4 linked regions of the Drosophila melanogaster genome follow. The protein of the gene in region 4 interacts with the protein of the main gene of each other region in a pairwise test. Each region holds a gene or a part of one and is shown on either strand. Other genes may lie near its edges.

Evidence for each region.
Region 1: the proteins of CG30122 (region 4) and CG5674 interact in a two-hybrid assay, tested with the Drosophila melanogaster proteins (one large-scale study listed by BioGRID).
Region 2: the proteins of CG30122 (region 4) and fan interact in a two-hybrid assay, tested with the Drosophila melanogaster proteins (one large-scale study listed by BioGRID).
Region 3: the proteins of CG30122 (region 4) and CG3294 interact in a two-hybrid assay, tested with the Drosophila melanogaster proteins (one large-scale study listed by BioGRID).

What each region holds. Positions count from the first base shown.
Region 1 is NT_033779.5:17,961,777-17,966,378, forward strand, and holds the start of CG5674 (uncharacterized protein), read left to right. Parts: upstream 1-1,602; 5' UTR 1,603-1,769; coding exon 1,770-1,829; intron 1,830-2,367; coding exon of another isoform or gene 2,368-2,673; intron 2,674-2,732; coding exon of another isoform or gene 2,733-4,111; intron 4,112-4,172; coding exon of another isoform or gene 4,173-4,602. Other genes in the region: btv (beethoven), read right to left, coding at 959-1,240, 2,368-2,673, 2,733-4,111, 4,173-4,602.
Region 2 is NT_037436.4:8,107,506-8,110,579, forward strand, and holds fan (farinelli), read left to right. Parts: upstream 1-1,626; 5' UTR 1,627-1,772; coding exon 1,773-2,429; 3' UTR 2,430-2,538; downstream 2,539-3,074. Other genes in the region: Sarm (sterile alpha and armadillo motif), read left to right, coding at 1,134-1,218; Nulp1 (nuclear localized protein 1), read left to right, coding at 2,994-3,074.
Region 3 is NT_033779.5:4,792,771-4,797,100, reverse strand, and holds CG3294 (uncharacterized protein), read right to left. Parts: upstream 2,444-4,330; 5' UTR 2,430-2,443; coding exon 2,416-2,429; intron 2,349-2,415; coding exon 1,530-2,348; intron 1,259-1,529; coding exon 1,155-1,258; coding exon of another isoform or gene 1,147-1,154; exon of another isoform or gene 1,126-1,146; intron 1,039-1,125; coding exon 882-1,038; intron 815-881; coding exon 538-814; 3' UTR 520-537; downstream 1-519. Other genes in the region: slf (schlaff), read left to right, coding at 1-25; fipi (factor of interpulse interval), read left to right, coding at 3,421-3,463.
Region 4 is NT_033778.4:18,633,250-18,641,082, forward strand, and holds the start of CG30122 (uncharacterized protein), read right to left. Parts: upstream 6,022-7,833; 5' UTR 5,712-6,021; coding exon 5,570-5,711; intron 5,369-5,569; coding exon 4,598-5,368; intron 4,491-4,597; coding exon 3,639-4,490; intron 3,573-3,638; coding exon 3,091-3,572; intron 3,023-3,090; coding exon 2,894-3,022; intron 1,693-2,893; coding exon 1,521-1,692; intron 1,037-1,520; coding exon 177-1,036; intron 115-176; coding exon 1-114. Other genes in the region: CheA56a (chemosensory protein A 56a), read left to right, coding at 6,945-6,998, 7,065-7,553.

The sequences.
Region 1 (4,602 bases), on a different chromosome or scaffold from region 4:
TAAACTGTTCTTCCTTGTAGCTAATTGGATTTGAAGTTCGGAGCGGAGTTTATGTATCTTTTGATATACACATTCACTTTATATCCTTACTCAATTACCTTTTCAGCCTTATCGCGCTGCCTAATTCCTTAATCCGCAACTAAATTTCCATTTGAAGCGTAATAAATTATTTATTCTCAATAGCCGACAGCACAACAAGTTGGGAAAGGCGTACAACAAAATCTGAGAAGTCTGCATAGCTAAATTTGCAAAATGTGTTAACAAACTGCCACGCCCACCGATACGAGGCACTGTGATTTGTGCGGAGGGCAATTTATATGCCACAGAAGCCGGCTGCCACGCCCCCTTCTCGGTACCGGGAGGCACTTTACACTCAAATTGTGTTAATTTGCATATTGGAAACTTTTGCCTAATTGAACATAATGCCACTTAATTAAAGTTAAGACAAGTTTTTGACGGTAAAATGGTTTTGGGCCTGGGGGATGTCGGGGATGTCTTGGCAACTAAAAGTATGCCCGACATTTATGGCAGTTTGTTGTTGAAATTTACGGCAATTAGTTTAATATGAGCAGATTATGAGGGACACAGGACGCAATAAAATCCCTTCGGCGGTGGCAAATTAATTTTTAGGGGCATCCCCGAATAAACACAGACACTGAGACATATGGAAATCAATTAGCTCTTCAGAGTCTAAGTCCTCGCCTTAAATGTTTAATGGCCCATTTTTATGTTTGCCTTTGGCTGCCTAATTGTTAGTTGTTTAAATATTTACTTAGAATTAGTTGGGACCCAAATGACAGCGTGTCAAGGGTAGGAAACTAATGTTAAAAGAGTTTCGTTTGGTTTTTATTTAATATTTGCGAAGGTGAATTGCTATTCAAGTGTCAGTCCAACACATTCTTCGCTTCTCTACATATATATTTGAAATATATTGGTATAAAATAATATTGAGTGGTGTTTAATAATCTTCGACTATTAGCGCTGTTCCGGCCAAGAGAATTTGTTCCGCAGTTCCGGTCACAATATCAACATTTAGGTGGCAAATCAATTTGTCGCGACTGCTCCGAGAATATAATGGGAGTTTGGGCTTCGATTCAGCATTTTGCGTGGAATATAGCGAATTTTTGCCGTATTTTGAGGAACTAGTAGTCGTATGACTGACATTTTGTACTTCGTCTTTTATTTTGTACTTGATGTAGAAGGGGTTCGATTTTCCCATTCCACTCTGGGCGCCATCAATCTGTAATGGAAAATGAATAGTGCCAAGTTTAGTTACTAATGAAATACTTAGATATATTCCACATTACATATATTCACAATTGCTAAAAACAAAAAAAAAGGCGAAAAGCGGGTAGATGATTTGCAAAGTTTATTCTCCAAGTCCTAAAATGTATATACAAAAAAATAGTTATTTGTTTTTTTACAGTGTTAGTTCTAGCAGGTACACCCATCAGGGCATAGCGGATGCACTCCCCATAGTCAGCTTCCAAACCGATTATCGATTGGCATCGAATACGTAGATATACAAACGAGAAGGGAAAGTAAAATGTAAGTTTGTGCTCAGAACTGCTTATCGATAGGCATCGGACAAGGTGCCATCTCTAATTCCCCCTCTTGTACCGGAATGTCAATCAAATGAAAACAAAAAAAGCGGCGTGAGAAAACTGAAAAGAACGGGCATCCAGTGCACATTTCAAGCTTAATTTCGATGCATTGAACGGCGGCGGCGCACCGAAAACAGGAGGCGCAGGATTACGGATACGGAAGCTATGGAAACGGCCAGAATGGAGACGGCGATGGAGACACATTTTATGGCCAAAATGGGGAAGGTGAGGAACAAAGACAAGAAGCAAACGGGCAAGAGGGAGAGAAGATGTCATCAGTCTTCGTCCCAAAAGATAAATAAGTATCTTTTGGGATTTTGGATTGGGGGAATCAATTTGGACTATGGATGTATGCATATCTACTATCCAGGTAATCCGTAACAGAGTATTGTTACTGTTACTACTACTACGTGTGCATCCAATTGTATCTGATATAGCAACCTGGCAAAATGTATCCCAAAATTATTTCTCAATGTTTATTGTATTTACTGTAACGCTTCTCGAGGGCTTATGATATTTAATGGTTATCCCCAACTTAACCAATGCGCCATCTACCGCGAATATTATAGTTATGGCAATTTCTTGGCTGATTATCCTGCGATTAGTTAAATTTCCTTTTATGGCTTCGAAATATATTCTTAGTCGCTAAAGAAGAAGACATAGAAGACATAACCCCTTGAATCATGAGTAAGTGGCTTGCTGAATTTGATTTCACAACTTGATGTCAAAACATTATCGGTTAAAGATACTAATTCTTACTCACCTTTAGCGGCGCCAGCTTGAGTATTATGTCCGAAGAATCACTTTCCAAGTTTGAGGAGCCGCAAGTTTGCAACTCCAGGCGTTCGGTGGAAACTGCCAGTTTTCGAGACTGCAGCAGCTTTAAACAGGACAACAGGTTCTCACAGTTAAACACCTGGACGAAATTGATATCCTCTACAAAATCCAGATGCATTTGCTCCCGGAATCGAAGTTCGGCAGCCTGGGCTCGAACGATTAGGGCTCTTAAAAAGTCCACGGCACTGTTGCTGCCAGGTCCAGGCCATAGTTTAAGCCAACTGGCAGGAATCTATGAATTTCAGTTTATTATGCATTTTCAAGTTACGTTACTGTACCCCAGTTTCTTACCTGCTGTTCTGCCAGAGTTCTCAGAGTGCTGCCATCCACCTCCTGCGACTCCTTAAGCCAGGCATGCATCTGCGACAAAGTCTGGTGAACTATGCCGTAGAGATCCGCCCCTAGTTTCAGTTCAGCCAGCACAAAAAGTGCCCAGGGAGATTCACCCACATCAGTTTTTGCCTCCTTCATAGTCTGGATTATGGTACACGAAGCCGCCAACTTTCTCCATAGATTCAGTAGGGGTTTAATTTGCTGTTCCAGCTTCTGACGACCAGTGAGCTGATCGTTTCCCTTAGACTCTCCTGCTCCTCCAGAATCCTTAGCCAAGCCTCTTCCGTAATGCAATCCCCTGAGTTCCTTTATCACTCTTTTGGCCTGTTCAATTTCGCGTTGCTGTTGTGCCTGATTGGCCAAACCATACATACTGGGCTCATCTGTGTCAGGAAGTTTCTCCAATGCAGCGTAGTAGTCCTGCAGTTGACCGCTAGTTGGTATGGATAGAGATAATCCAAGAGGTGACCAACGATTGCTTAAGACGTCCGCTGAACAAAACTGGTTCAGATAGGTTGTGAGTATCTCCAGATCCCTCTGATTATTTACTCTTCCGCCATAAGCGAGGGCTTCACTGAGACGTTGCATCAGCAACCAATCGCATTTTCCTGAATTAAGTTGCTGATCCATCATTCTTAGGATACCCAGAGCCGCTTTTAGATCTGCCTCACCGAATTCATAGTATTTTGACCAACCTTGTGGTATAAACTGTCGCCTTTGTTGAAGCACAGCTGTTAGGACAAAATAAACCAGTCTCATCTTGAGGCTCTTTGGTTGGTTTTTAAGCTTTTGATCCTGTTCAGCAGCGAAGTTCTGGAGCAAACGCATCACAATCTGCTTTAGTCCCTTAGGCTGCTCATAACGTACTTTAAGGCATTTATAAATGGCAGCTTCGGAAAATCCCTCGGTTGATTCGCACAATAGCCACAATCGAAAGTCTTTCGATTTTTGAATTTCACTTAATTCCCTTTCCATTTGAGTTAGAAATTCCGGCACCAAATGGACATTCTTAACGCATAACCAGTGGCCATCTATGGCAGCCTGACGCATTTCGGAGAGAACTCTTTTCTCAACACCTTTTCCAATAGCCATTTCTCTATACTTTTGATTGGCCCACTTTCTCAATTCAGTTGTTGGATCATTTTCCGCATGACTAACCATCAAAATCGGGCGATCACAGCTGCTCTGCTGCAGCAACTGCTCCACAGAAGGTTGGGTGGAGGCATCTGGGGAAATTCCCAGCAGATCGCTACTCACTTTTCGCAGTTGGTGAAGCATCAAGTCGGGTCGGAAAATCTGAGCAATAAGCACACGCTGGAAGCTGGACCCCAACGCAGCTGTAAGTTCGAAAATAAATCTGAATAAGATGAAATTAACTAAATTATTTCTACAACTTACGTAGCACATCATCCGCTTGAGCCTCAATGAATCCGCGCCAGATATAGTCCTTCTCCAACTGGAGCTTGCTTCGCAAATCTGGGAACAATTGGAGTAACATAGCCAGCTTTAATTGCGCTTCCTTGGGCATGCAGTCGGGCAGTTTTCCAAGCTGACTTAGCACCATACTGCCATCAGAACTACCCATGAAATTGTTCACAAACAGCTCCCACTCCTTGGGGTTTAATCTATCGGGATATGCCTGATGACAAACCCACAAGGATAAGGATAGCTGGCTATCTCTAGAAGTAGCTCTAGCTAAATTCATATAAACACTTCGTACAAGACAATCATAGACCTTGGACTCATCTCGTTGACTTTTGGAAAGAGCCCCCAAAAATAGTTCAATGTAAACAAGAGGGGATAATTCATAGCCCTGGATGAGGCCTGC
Region 2 (3,074 bases), on a different chromosome or scaffold from region 4:
TTTTTATTGAAAAATAAGTAAGCGAATTTAAATTGCGAAAACTAATTTATGAAAAGAAAAATACAATTAACGACTGCATAAATACGAAACCTAATTTATAGAACACAAAACAGAAACCATCTAATTCTAAACACTACAAGAAACAAAAATATATTGGAGAGCGAAAACACTCTATATTTAAAATGCTATTTATAAATAATATGTTTAAAAATTTGTACATTTTTCGCGAATGCAACATGTTCTTGTAACCGTCCGCAAAACGTAAACTAAAAATTGCAAAATTTAAAATTAACCCGTGTGGCTTAAAACGAAAATATTTACATAAGTGATATTTAAACTACGTATAATCGAAATTTACTTAATGCAAAATTTTTACAACAAAACATGCTGTACAAACCTAATTTTTAGCGCAGGAGTTTTTAAGGCATATTTTTATTGATTTTTGCAATATATATTTAATATTTAAATAGTGCCTAAAGTTAAATACGAAAGCCGAAAAAATCGAAATACATACAAAAAAAAAAGGAAATAAAATGTGACTTAATTCAAACTAAATGTGTATTATTGGCCCTATTTAGCCCTGTTCCCCTGCTTAATCAGTCCATACTATATCATCAATCGCATGTACCGATATTATACGTTTTGTTCAATGTTTGTATTGCGTTCTGCATTTGAATTTGTGTTTGTGCCTTTAATGGAATTCGAAATGTTTTATTTGTATATATCTTATCACTTTTATTTCTTCCCTCTTTCTTTCTCTATATCCGGACTTTTTTGTAGACCATAAAAGCGAAATTGGCTACCGCAATCCGTTGTAACTGTTGTTATCGTTGTGCCTGTTGTACTGCCCCCGCCCACAAAAGCACCCACCCACCAAATCGAATCGATTTCGATTTCGAAAAACCCATCATCGCACACCGTGAGATTAATACGATGCCTACACTCAGCATCCGCCGTCTCGACAACCAACATTCATTGTTATTTATTACCAAGCAAGCAACAAAAAAAAGAAAGAAAGCAATCAAAGCAAATAGCGATACCAATAAACGTGTATATAATTGCATAAATCGAAAGAGTCCTGTCAAACATTTTTTAATTTGTATCTTACCCATACCTCCTCCCACTCGAAACAGCAACGAAATGGAGGACGAGGAACTTTCGGGCATCATTCTGTCCAAGGCCACCTCCCCCAATGCCGGGCGCATGATATTTTGGTAAATGATGGACCATCCCCCACCTGACACACATTCAGTCACACAAACGTATCGAATTTTTGTAAATATTTAATAAAACAAAAAACAAATAAAACGAACGATCTGAAACTCGAAATCATGTTGTTATCTAAACATCTTGAACTTACAAATACAAAAAACTACAATTTGCAAAAGTTCTAAAAAGTTTTTGAACATTATTTAAAGACAGGTTTGTATATAATTTATGAAATTAGCCTAAAATATAGCTTTTAAGACATTCCTTTAAGCAACATAAGCTAATAGCTGCAATCTATAATAGTGATGCTGCGCATATGACTTTCAAAACCGACCAGTGTGTCCACACCAGAAAAGTTGAATTCATACGAAATCAAGCAATATGTGAACTCAATTCAGCCCTGAAATGGAAAGTTTCACATTCCTTTTTCTGTCATTTGCACTACGGCATTGTCAGGGAACGTGTTCATTTGGTACCACATTTTTTCATATATTGGTCATAATCGGTTCCAGTTCATATCGCTTCCGATTTTTTGAAAAATAAAAAGGTACAAATATTCCAATATGTCCGACAATACCGAGAGCAAACTTGCGCTAGACCCGTGCGATGTGATCGTCTTTGAGGGACCATTCAACCGCTCGGTGAGCAGGAAGCTAGTCATCAAGAACACCAGTAAGACCCAGCGAATGGCCTTCAAGATGAAGACCACCACTCCAAAACTTTTTTATGTACGCCCCAACATCGGTGTCTTGGGGCCCGAGCAGAAGGTCAGCGTTGACATATTCATGCAGCCAATTCTGCAGGAGCAGATAAAGAAGCGTCATAAGTTCCTTCTCCTGGCCGCCGAGGTGACTGGTGACATAAGCGATGTGCAGGAGTTTTGGAAGATGCAGAACCCGAATGAAACTCGGGAAACCAAGATCAAATGTGAGCTAGTCCCTTCGAAGGAGGACGATTTCCGTCAGGCGGGAGGTTCAGCTGTAATATCCACGGACAACAAGGACGGAGAGGTCCATTTTGATGCCCAGGAAGTCAGTGAGCCAATGGCCAAGTTGCTCAAGCAAGTCAGCATGCTGGAGGACGAGCATATGGCCCTCACAGACCAGATCGACGGCTTGCGTGACCAGGCGATTGGGCGCACTTTCTTCTACATGGCCGCCATAGTAATCATTATACTGTCCGCTGTCGCAGGCGCCTATTATGGCAAGACTCGTTTGTAAATTCCTTATCATGGCAGTTTTTAGAACATAAGGCAGTAAATTGCACCGAAATTGTACGAAAATTATTTGTCAATAAAGGACATTTTGGTTGCATATTCTATTTTGAGATAGATAATTAGTTTATGCTTGTATACCAATAAATGCGTAAGATGTTATATTCTCACTTTACTAGAAGTAAATAAGTTTAAAATAGGAAATGTCGAATAAAAATAAATTTTTTCAAAACAATTTAAAATGCTTTTTCCTATTTCACTTTATGAAGAGACAAAAAGTAAACTTATTAAAATTTCTGTGAATAACACGTCAAGTTTGATCCAACTTCTACAGGCAAGGCGTATAGGTGTATAGCACTTGCTAAAATTTAGAACTTCTTTTTCAATTCCCGCCAAGACGGGACCACCTGTCTAGGCCAGTGCTGTGAAGCGCGCGTGGCCACAGAGCTCGGCAACCCTGCAGCCGTGCGAAAGCGAATGTGGTGAAGAAAAAAAAAACAGCGAAATACACACGTATTTTGCGACGAAATTAAATAGAATTCCTGCTAAGGGGTATAAGGACACTTGAAGGATGTCTGCGCGAATGCTGAAGAAGCTGCAGGGCGACGCTGACAAGCTGGCGCCACCGCCCGATGACGAGGACTGCGAGGAG
Region 3 (4,330 bases), on a different chromosome or scaffold from region 4:
CACGAATCCCGGCATCCGTCTATAGAGCGGCTCGCTGGGCGTTCGCTGTTTGCCTAATTTTAAAGCTACTTATTATAATATTCCTTAAACGAGTTTTTGTATAATTTTTGTTTGTATGTGTACGACGAAAACGGAAGAAAGCAAGACAAATAGACTTTAGAATTTACAATTTCCGATCCTACAAACACCACAAAACCACCCACCCACCAAATCCACAATACTGCTTTCATCACACCTTAGCACCCAGCACTTAGTCTCACTTCTCCTTCCTCCCTACCTTCGAAACTGCCAATTTTACGCGTAGAATTCTATTCCGTTGTAAACAGTTGAGTCGTTTTCAGATCGCACCTTAAATATTTATAGGCAATCCTAAATTGCAAGTGTTTCGCTCTGACCCACTGTCTGTCATTCAAGCAAGAAATTCGGAATCTCTTTAGTATTTTGTTTGAGACACTCATGTTTTGTCCACAAAGAGATTGAATAAAATTTTGTAAAGATCCCATAAAAAAGAAAACACTTGAATTAATACTTTGGTTTTTATTGGCAATGGTTGTGCTGATGATCGGGTGTTGTGGAGTTGTGATGATGATGATGCCTCTTTGATCTGCGATCGTCATGTGAAGATCCCGAGGAGCTGTGCTCTCTTTTAGAGCGCACGGAACTCCGGTCACTTCTTGACCTGGAATGATGATTCCGCTGTTGGTTGTTTTTGAGATCCCGACCTCGGTTGCCCAAGTCCTTGGAGTTTTCCAGTTCAACCTCGGGGCTTGCCGACCAGCGCCAGTTCCTGCCGTGCTCGCTGTGCTCATCCCAACTGAAGAGATAGGGAAAGTATTTAAATAGTTTGCCGGAATATAAACTAATATTATATTTAAATCCACCTGGGTGTCTTGGCCGTTGGAGTTTGGCTGGAGCGTCGTTCACTGCGTGGACCGCTGGTGTACTCCAGTTCCGTGTTGAACAGGTTGTTCGGATTGCCAAACAGGTGCAGATAGCCGCAGTCGTTACCTTTGGGACATTTACGTGTTAAGGACAAACCTTTAAGAAGTCACAGATTGTGTTAAAGAAAATGGTATTAAAACATATGAATGGGCTTGCTTTGAGTTTTGGTTTTTTAAAGGATACGGCTTCCTCTTGGCATGCAGTTCACGTACCGCAGACTGCGCCGCGCCAGGTCCTCAGATTGGAGAACTCCACGTTTAGTCGCTTGGAGGCGTAGTAGCGACCTTGGAGATTGGTAAATGCGCGAAGTGCAGATCTGAAATCATGACGTACGCTTTATAATAATTAGTTTATGACCTCTTTAGACATTATTAACATAACATAAAAGTATGCAAGCGCAGAGACAATACAATATATATATTTTTTGGCGAGAGAACAGGTATAAATTAAAATTGTGAATTATATGAATTAACTTTTACATGAAAATGCTGGGAAATAGGCTGCATTTGAATATCCGAATTGCTTGCATATAAACAATGTCATATTAATTAAATAATAATAATGATAATTAATACTCTCAGACAAACCGTTCGTTTGTGTACTCCACAAAGACGTGACCCCTGAGGTGTTCCAGCGTATTGCGCACCGTGCGGAAGTTGACAATGGTGCCGAACTTTCTCAGTTCTTCGACGACATCGTTGAAGAACTCATCGTAGTCGTGGCGCAGATCCTGTTCGGTCAATTCCAGGTGTTCCTCCGCCGAGGCGTACTCCTTGTGCGTGCATCGCTTCTGCAGCATGGAATGGTTGAAGAAGTGCCGGATGAGAAGGATCCTTCCCAGCATCGGGCGGCGATGGTTGAAGGTGCAGGCGTGACCGTAGCGGCAACAGTTGGTGCGGCTAAAGAACTCGCAGGCTCGTTCCTCCGGATGCGTCTCCATTACACGCAGAAGGTGGCTGGGTGGCTTCTCGATACGCGGGTTGTTCAGATACTCATCCATGCTCTCCATCATGGCATCGAATTCGGCGGCAGCCTTGGCGGCTTTTCGTGTCTCTTCCTCGCGCTGCTTCCGCTGTCTCTCCTCCCGTTCCGCCCGCTCTTTCGCCTGTTCCCGCTGCAAACGCTCCACTTCCTCCTGCTCCTGACGCTTCTTCGCCTCGTCCATTTGGAATTGTCGCTGCGCTGTGGCTTCGCGTCGCAGCCAGGACTCCTCCGCCAACTGGCGCTCCCGTTCGTCGGCTAGTCGTTGGAATTCCTGCATTTCCTCCTGTTCCTGCGACCATTTCTGGTACTCCGGCTGCATAAGTCTTTGGTTTTCCGCCTCTTCCTCCAGTTTATCACGTTCTTTGGCATGTTTTTGACGACGCCGCTTCCTCTGCTGCTTCTTGATTAACTTTCGCCGTGCCCTTTGTATAAATTATATACATTAAATTAAATTATACATTATATTTAAACAAATTTATAGTTATTTACTTCCTTCCCGGCATTTCGCAAAATCAAAACATTGAATTTCGGTGAGCAGCTGAAACGCATTTGTGAGAACACAGCTGATTAATACCGTGTACAGGGTCTATGAAAAATACCACAAAATACTGCAGCACGAAAAAAATTACATTTTTACATTTACATATTTTTCAAAGTTTTCATAAATCTGGCAAATCAAAAATGTTTTGTAAGTTTTCCCTCAAAATTAAGATTTCATATCATAAATGTTTAAAATTTACGAATTCTTACGATTTTTGTAATTCAAAATTTATTATAAATTATAACAGTCTAATATAACACCAAGTTTCGTTCTTGCTATAAAATGTAAAATAACATTGCTGTATAGCACAATGCCAAAAGCCTCAGTTCAACTTACACTGCTATAAATTATGTTATGTGATTTTTATAGCACTGTGTCGAAGAGCTTTTAAAATTTAATAGAAGCGCTTAGTTTGAATATTTTCTTGTTTATCAGATTTGTATATTTTGAATTGAACCGTTTATTCAAGCTTTTTCTCAATTCCCCCTTCCATCGAACCAGAAACTTTCGAACTCGAAAATTCCCCTCTGCAACAATGTTGCCAGCAACATTGTGTCCGGCGATTGCCGAAGATGCGAAAAAAAATCAAATTCAGTGATAAAGTAAAATTCGTGCGCGTCGGTTCACCTACACTTCGTGTCGCCAGAGAAAGCCTTTCTCCTGGCTTTCTCTCTGAGCTCTCCTTTTGCGCTCGGCTCCGAAATCCGAAGTCCGGAATTTGGACTCCGGCTCAAGCGCCGAATCGCCGAGCTTGGCTCACGGAAAACCAACTGAGTTGTGCGAAACTAAGTCAAAACAATTGATGTGAATTCTCGCGGCACAACTTGATATTAGATAAATGAAATAATTCGCGCCGCTGGCACTTTGAACTCGTAATCAGGTCGCAAGCATATTCACGGTTTTTTGTGTAGTAACCACAGGAATTCAAATTCATATTCGTTGAGATTCTCGCAATGCGGCTAATTGGATTTATTCTGAATTTGGCAGCCCTAACAGGTAAGTGGTTCTTACACTGGGAGAAAAAGAAAACAAATGTTATCTAAATACATAAAATAGCCTGATTCTAAAGCTAGCAATTAAGGGATATTTAGAAAACAATATTTTTGGATTTGATGCTATCAATCCATAGATGCTATATTAGTTGTAATAGTAGATTTTTGTAACCATCACTTATTGAAATGCAATTAAATAACTTAAATATAAACTTAAAGAAAGAAGAACATATATCGCAAATTAAAACAATATGTTCTTTACTTACAATTTTTTTCTGTACGCCTAAAAGGGGCATTTAATTTTCAATAATAAACGATTTGACCGCATTTGTTGCTCTAGTGTTACATTGGCTGAGGTGGTCATCGAGTTCTGGAGGGGATGTGGATGGGGATGAGGATGTGGCGACCTCTTCCGAGTTACGTTCTGCGTTTTATTTTCGGACCCATGAACGGTGTTTATTATGTTCTTGTCTGGTCGATGGACAGTTACGAGCTTTAGTAGTATTCATAATGTGGTTGTTGTGGTTTTCCGTCTTCCTCGTCGTCGTCGTGTCGTTACGTATTTATCAATATTTGCCCTCTGTATTTAGTTTTGTGGCTCAAGTGTCTCGTGGCTAATAGAAAATCGATGCTGGCACATTGTTGCACATTTCGCTGAAGTATCTCGAAGATACTGGGAAAGTATCTTGCCGCTTTGCAGCCCTTTTGCGCTGTTCTCACTGCTTTCTGTTGGATTTTTTGAAGTCGCTGTCAGTCAACGATGTTTGCTCTTAGTCTTTCGATCAATTTTCACTGCCTAAAAGCTGTCTGAGGGGTGTTAAGTCGCACTTGAATGGCATTTTCCATGGCCTGCCACATGCCTCTGATTTTC
Region 4 (7,833 bases):
TTGGTATTGTTGTGACTGCTGCTGAGTCTGCCAGATGCCCGTTTGTTGATGCTGCGGCGCCTGCTGTTGCTGATGGTGTTGACTGTACGTACTCCACTTGCCGCTAAGGGAGGCCTACAGGAACGATCGAGATCTTAGCCAGCTGTCATGCGTCGAGGATTTGGTCGCACACTTACCTTGCCTCCGCCAGGTGCTCCACCTTGTTGCTTGTACTGATCGTAGCCACCGCCTACAGCGGTGTTATTGCCATACTTGGGTAGCGATTGACCAGCTGACCGCTCATAGCCACCGCGACTATCTTCTTTGGTGTCGCGGTGGCCAGGCCGAAAATCCCGTTGTTGATGAGTACCACCTCCCGAGCGATAGCTACTCTGGCTGCTGCCCCGGTTCCGGTCGTTACTGCCCATTCGACTGCGGTCGTTGCCACGGTCTCGATCGCGATAGTCCCGCGAGCTGCCGTAGCCGCGGTCGTCATACCCACTTCTGCGGTTGTTCTGCATCCAGTTTTGCTGACCACCACCACCACCACCACCACCGCCGCCGCCGCCACCACCACCGCTGCCGCCTGCGTATCCACGGTTGCGATTGTCGTATCCACGACTGCCGCTTCCACCGCCACCATAGCCGCGATCATCGTACCCGCTTCTGCGGCTGTTCTGCACCCAATTTTGCTGGCCACCGCTACCGCTGTTGTAGTTGCGGCGATTGTCGTAGCCACGACTGCCGCCTCCACCACTATTGCTGGAGTAACCGCCACCGCCGCCTCCCCTGCGGGAGTCGCTCCAACGACTTTCGTGCCGCTGGCCGCCATAATCACGACGTCGGTCATCATTGTATCGATTCCGGTTCCGGTCATCACGACGATAGTTGTCGCGACTTCCTCGGGATCTCTTGTCACGCGACCTCTCCGCGTCAATGGCCTTTTTGCCCTTCTCGTTGTACTTCTTGACCTCGCTCTTGGCCTCGTCACCAGTCAGCTCCGTGTAGTTTATATCATCGAACCAGCCAAACTCCAGCGAGGGAAGTGTGAAGTTGGCTGGAAAAAGATTGCGTGTACATCATCAATAAGGCTGCACAATTGCTAAAATCGCTCATTATCATTACAGATTAGGAATTATTGTAGATGGAGTATAGAGGGAAAGAAGGGATCAACTTTGGCAACCGAACGTAAAAGGGCGCAAAAATTTCGATTTTCAAGAAATCCAGTTGTGAATAAAGTCCATCCTTTATACGTTCCAGTTGCCAAGTGGGGGTTGTTATAGAATAAATGTTAATGAATAATGGTAATAATAATAATCAAATTATGAGATATTTTGAAGGGCTTACAGTTACAATTACGTATAGATACATAAAGTGCAGCTGCTTACAAACTAAATACGTTACATAAGTTTTTATAATGTTTTTCATTTTAACAAGAATGCCTCCTTATTTAGATAGGTAGAATAATAAGTTATACGATCGTACATTATTCTGGATTTTTTTTTTCAATTCGTTGCTTTGGTGTGGTGGATAATATTTACCTCGTAAATTATTAATTGTTGATTCTTTAACTGTAAAAGCATTTCCCTTTTCCTCTTTTTCGGCGATGCGACGTTTCAATTCATCTTCGCTGGGTATGCAAACGACCGCAATTCGCTTGAAGTCGTTAAAACCCTTCATTTTACGTCGCTGGGCCGAGGCATACACATTGGTCTACAAGAATACAGTTGGTTGATCGGTTGGTTGGTTGGTGTTGTTTGGTTGAATTGGGTTCAGATTTTGTCTGCCAGTTGTTGTTTGGTTGGATTTGGTTTGGTTGTTGTTGGGACAGTCGTCGAACTTGAGAAACACGTTGATGATACGGCTCGGTTGGAGACCTCGGTCTACCGGGATCGAACCCAACTCGCATTGAGCTCGCTTGCTTTCAGCGCTTATAATCTAACACATACCTGTTGCACGGCGGGACACCCACTTCCCGCCCACACTCCGCCGGCAAGGGAGCGGGGCCTTACGGAAGCGGTGCGCGCACACCAACATAATACCTAGGGGGCGGCGACGGGTTAATGTTAACCCGGCCACATCTAACAACAGTTGACTTAATACTTTGCATAAGGATAACAGAATGTACTATGGGGGAAAAGTAGTCGCGGTTGGCTGTGCTGCTGGCTGTAGGATGAAGCATCGCATAGCTTTCTGTAGATACACATACATATATATGAGAATAGTTGGCATTTAGAGAGAGAGATAGAGTAGAGATAGTAGGTACTAATACGTATATGTGATTAGATTGTAGGCGAACGACTCGTCGATCGGATTTGTGTTTGTCTACTTACAGTGGCATCCATGCCGCTCGCTCCTCCTCCTCCTCCTTCTTCCATACTTTACTTCACTCCATTCCATTACACTCACTCATCTTTCTCCAATGCCATTTCCATATCCATATCCACTTCCATCCCCACTTTTCTTACAATTCCCTCTTAACTGCCCCGTCAACTGTTGCGCCTGCACGTAAAACTTAAGCTAATGGGAAGTCCACAGATACTTACTGCCTCAAACTTAAGCACTCTAATTATCGGATCGACTTACAATTAGGACATACCTGCACGTTGGTGCCCCTTCTAGGGGCACTTGGGCACTCTATTAAGTTAGAGCGATGAGCAAAAAAAAAATGCATACTCAAATGTACAATTAAAAAATATATAGCGCAACATTGCTGTGCCCCGCTGGTGGAACCCCTCAATCCCGAGGGGATCAGAGCCCCAGTGTGTTGGGTGGGCGCCAAAGTCATCATCAACGTATAATTCTCGCTTGTTTCGTTTTGTGTTTGGTTATCGTTCGTTCATAGTGTAATCTTGTGTGTTTGTGGGCTGGTGTTTTGTTTCGGGTGTATGTAGGTCATTTGTTAATGGTTTACCTGATCAAGTATGAAATTTCGACGCCGCTTCATGGCAATATCTTCCAGAGCCGCCAAGCTATTTAAGCATATCTCGTACACCTTGTCCCATCGACCTTTGTGCACAGTCTTGCGAGAGGCGCCATCGATCTGCAAATATATTGGTCAGTACTGAATATCTTCAGCGCCTAGCTATGTACATTTATTAACCAACTTACTGTCATCTTTGAAATGAATGCGTCGGGTCCAATCAACTCGTAACGCTTGTCAGCATTCTCGGCCACATGCTTATGGGCCCAATGGGTCTTTCCGGCTCCTGGCAAGCCAACCAGTAAAATGACTTCGCACTCCTTGCGAGATCCGACGCGTTGTGGACCGGAAACCAGCTTTTCGACAGGTACTAAGCCGATCAATACATAGCCTTCCAGCAGGGCAGCTGTATCCCTTGGCTCGGGCACGACATCCTCGTACTCATCTTCGGTCGTCTGCGACCTGTCCTTTTCCTTTTCGGATTCAGCCTTTTCCGAATCTCCATCGGTTTTGGGTCGCTTGTTCGGCGAGGGGCCATCCTCATCTTCTTCATCATTGTTTTCGGAGGGTTTCTTATCCTCAGATGCCTTTTCATCGTTTGCCTGTTCTGCAGCAGCATCACCATTTGACACAGCTGCAGTTTCTGACGACTTTTCGGTAGAAGTTTCAGCTAAAAGGAAAACCCAAAATATTAGCATTTTGTGGGATAACTGATTTTCAATCAATCATTACTCACCAGTTTCCGAAGCCTCGGTAGCTTCTGATTCGGGCTTAGCAGCTTCAGCAGGAGCCTCGACTTTAGTTTCGGCTTCTGTTTCCGTTTTTGGCGCCGCCTCATCCTCTTTGGCTTTTTCAGGATCTTCGGCTTCCTCTTCATCTTTCTCCGAAGAAGCCTTGCCATCTTCATCCTTTTTCTCCACCTCATCATCATCCGCCGTGGCTTCGTCCAAGACCTTCCACTTCTCGCCATCGTTGTCATCCTTATCGTCGTCCTTATCCTTGTCTTCGTCTTTACGTGGCTTGCGGCGCTTGCGCGTGGGCCTCTCGGCATTCACCAACAGCTGCTCGGTGTCAGAGAAATTCACTAAGTATTCGTAGCCCTTGGTAACGATGTGCGGAAACAGGGCTCCCTCCTCGCCCAGTATGCTCTTCTCAAACTCGAACGCAACTCCAAGATCCTCGCCGTTCAGAGTGTAGTTAATTGTGCACGGCTCACTTTCCAGATCTAAATAGCAGCCGATAACGTCATCCAGCTGGTAAGGCTTGCCGTAATCGGTAAACTCGCTCTGAGTAGCCTTACGCCCGGTCTCGCAATAGCCAAATGAATGCTCGGCCTCGCCTAGCAACAAGGAGCTCTTGGGCATTGAAAATCCCACGCGGAATCCTCGCACATGCGGCTCATCGCGGAAGTAGTGCGAGTTCTCCGGCACCGACTCCTCGGAAAGGCGCACCTCAAAGCACACTTTGCCTTCGCGCACTCCGTAGTTTGCGCGGGCTCCGGACCAAATAAGCGAGTAAATTTCCGATGTCAGGGGTTTGGCCGATGCAAACGTGGTTGGGTCGATGCGTAAATGCAAGTCAGAGTCCACTGGAATATAAAAACAAAGGGATATTAGTTACTGTGAATGATGGATCAAGCTTTGAACGTTAAGGAATGTGTGTATCGAATTCGTTGCAAACAGCAAGTCTACTTACGCCAGCTCAATCCGACTTTGTTCTCCTCGATGGTTGGCTCGTCCTCAGGAACTGTGCGTTCCTCGGCCGCTGCCTTTGACTCACGCTTGTCACCTACGCTGCCGCGATGTTTGGACGAGCGGGAGCCACTGCGCGATCGGGATTTGGACCGACTGTGTGATCGCTTGCGGCGTTCCGGGGGCTGATCCTCAGGCTTAGCTGCTGGCTCGGTCTCCTCCGCCGTTTTCGGGGCGGCCGAATCCTCCTCATCAACGTCCATTTTCTGGCTGTCGCCATTTGACTGATGCTCGGCCACAGTGCTCTCGGCTGGTTTCTCCTCTACAGGCTCCTCAGTTTGTGTAGGTTCCTGCTCCTCAGGGGCAGCATCATGATCCTCTTCCATGGGTTCATCAGCCACTTCATTCTGTGGTACGACGGCGGGTACTGCCTCTTCGATTGTCTCCTGCTTGTCGTCTGTCTCCGACTTTTCATCAAACTCTTCGGGCTCAGGCTGCGACTCCTCATTGACCGCTTGGTTGACGGTTGTGTCCTCTGTCACTGCTGCAGCTGGCTCAGCTTCCTCCGGCTCACTTTGTTCTGGTTCCGGCTCGGCTGCTGGCTGTTCACTTTCTGGTTCTGGCTGTGGCACTGTCTTATCCTCCGGCTGCTCCTCCTCTTCGAGAGTATCGAGCACTGGTTCTGCGGCCACGGGAGCAGCTTGCACCGGCGATGGAGAGCGGGACATAGAGCGCGTGCGACGCTGACGGCGGCTTGGTGTGACCGGCGCATTTTCTGGACGCGGGAAAAGTGAAATGTGATTACTTTATCATTATATAAGGAAAACTTACAACTAACTCACGCTCAGTCGCACACAAACAGAAACCGAAACACAAGCATGACTTGGACGCGGCAAAGCACACGCACACAGTGACACCCACACACATACACACTGGAACAATCGGGCGGTCAAATGACGCATACACACAAACTTACCACCGTCGCCGGCTCCTCCTTCCACATATGCCCTCAGGCGCTCGACGAGCACCGCTTTGACTCCTTTGGTGTCCAGGCCGCGCGACTGGAGCTCGTTGCGCAGGTCCACCACCTTCATCTTCTCCAGCTTCGCCACATCCATTCTTGCGCTTCAATTTGGATTGGCGGCAGAAACACACACGCTTATTCACTCAATGTGCACCGCTGAAAAGCTGGCGATGTGAAAAACTGAATTGGGGGAATTTCGGGCCAAATCACGCTGTCTGGCAAATGACACCCACACTGGAAATGTCACCGTAGTCAAGTCGCAATGGTTGCTAGCACCGTGCGCGCACAATTAAAACGCAATATTCGTTTTTACATTCGCATTTGTTGCGAATAAATAAATGGACCTAAATATTATACCGAACGCGTTGAAGTGAAGTTGGCTGCGATTGGGAAAACGAAAACGTAGAGCTACCGTGCTTGGGTTCGATACTTGTGCTTGGTGGCTATCGATAACAGGCTGAACATCACTAGCGATAGAAGGCGCTTGTGTGCATCAACCGTTTGCATGTGCGCTGCAAGAAAATATTTAATGATTGAATGATTTGTAGTAAATACTATATCAATAAAAATTAATAGGCAAAGTCAATGTTTATTTCAAAACATAATTAATAGTATTAAAACCTGCATAACAAAGTGTTTTTCGTAAATTGACTTTAGGTATAATGGCTGTTTGGCACAGGCATTAACAACGACTCCGTGGCGCAACGGTAGCGCGTCCGACTCCAGATCGGAAGGTTGCGTGTTCAAATCACGTCGGGGTCAAGCAATTGATGTTTTTTTTTCATTATTTTTAGTTTGCAAACTATATAAAATAAATACGAATTTAAGATTTCAAAAAAAAAAAACAGTATACAAAATTTGCATCGGCCGGGAATCGAACCCGGGCCGCCCGCGTGGCAGGCGAGCATTCTACCACTGAACCACCGATGCTTAAATACTAGATGTCTTACCTTCAATATAAGCTTGGATTGCAAATCCATTGGGTCATTTCTATAAATTGCTAAAATAGTTTAAGGTTGATTAATAAAATGTAATGCTGAAATAAAACTAACTTAATACGCAGCGTTGCTAATATACTTATTACGAAAAACTGCATGTTTTTTATATTATACCATTTTCCTAACTTGTTATAACATCCTAACTTCCTAACTTTTGTAACATCGATTGTGGCCATGCCCCTTCAGCAGAACAAGTGCTCATTAACACTCACTTATAATTAAATTTGAAATATATTTTATCGACATGCCATACTCATGTCGCTATAAAATCTATAAGTTAAAGATGCACAATCCAAAATTTCGCAATTGGAGCGTTTAAATTCAGGAATATGTCTTTTTGGTGGATGATACAAAGCCTTTTGATCCTGTGGACAGTGTCAGTGGTAAGAATAAATAAAATAATCAATAAAGAAATTTGTGGCAATAATATATTTATTTTTAATTTTTAGGGATCAAAAAAAAGCAACTATGAAGTCCGCTTTGAGTCGATAGATGCCGTAAAAGGAAGTACCGAAACCCTTTTTCTATACCAGCTACGATTGCTCGGTAGAAACCGCATGATAAATGGAACTCTTATTTTCTTAGAAGACTTGGACGAAACGTTCGACGTCCTTTTCGAATCCCACGCATTTAAAAATGGATATTGGGTCAAGGGAATCGTGAACGCCGCCGCCAGCAAACCCTGCGAATTTTTCAATCGCTACTACATTTCCTTTTTCCTAGTAAAATCGACCGAATCGAATTTACCCACTACCGGTGCTGAAATGTGTCCTTTTCGAAAGGGTACATATTTTGTGAAAAACGGCGTTGTTTCTACCGAAGATTGGCCACCCATTGTCTTTAAAGGTCTTAACAGATTCACCATTTCGTATCTAAAAAATGGCGAATGTGTTGGTGGAGTTCAGTTAACAATTAGTATAGCAGAAATCATCACATAGTCTTAAAAATTTATAATACCACGAAAAAATATATGGCATAAATGAAAACTCAATTATTTCTCTGTGTGTGTGTGTATGTATAGCCAAGCCATTTTTATATATTTTTCTTCTTACATTTTTGATTACAGTTTATAGTTACAGCTAAAATGATTGCATTCGAAATTGTTTCGTTTCGTTTACACGGAATATGCGCATATATATTTAGCTAAGAATCTCTTTTAAATAGTAATAGGTTCTTTAATGGGGTTCACATAAATATTTACATGCACATTTGCACATA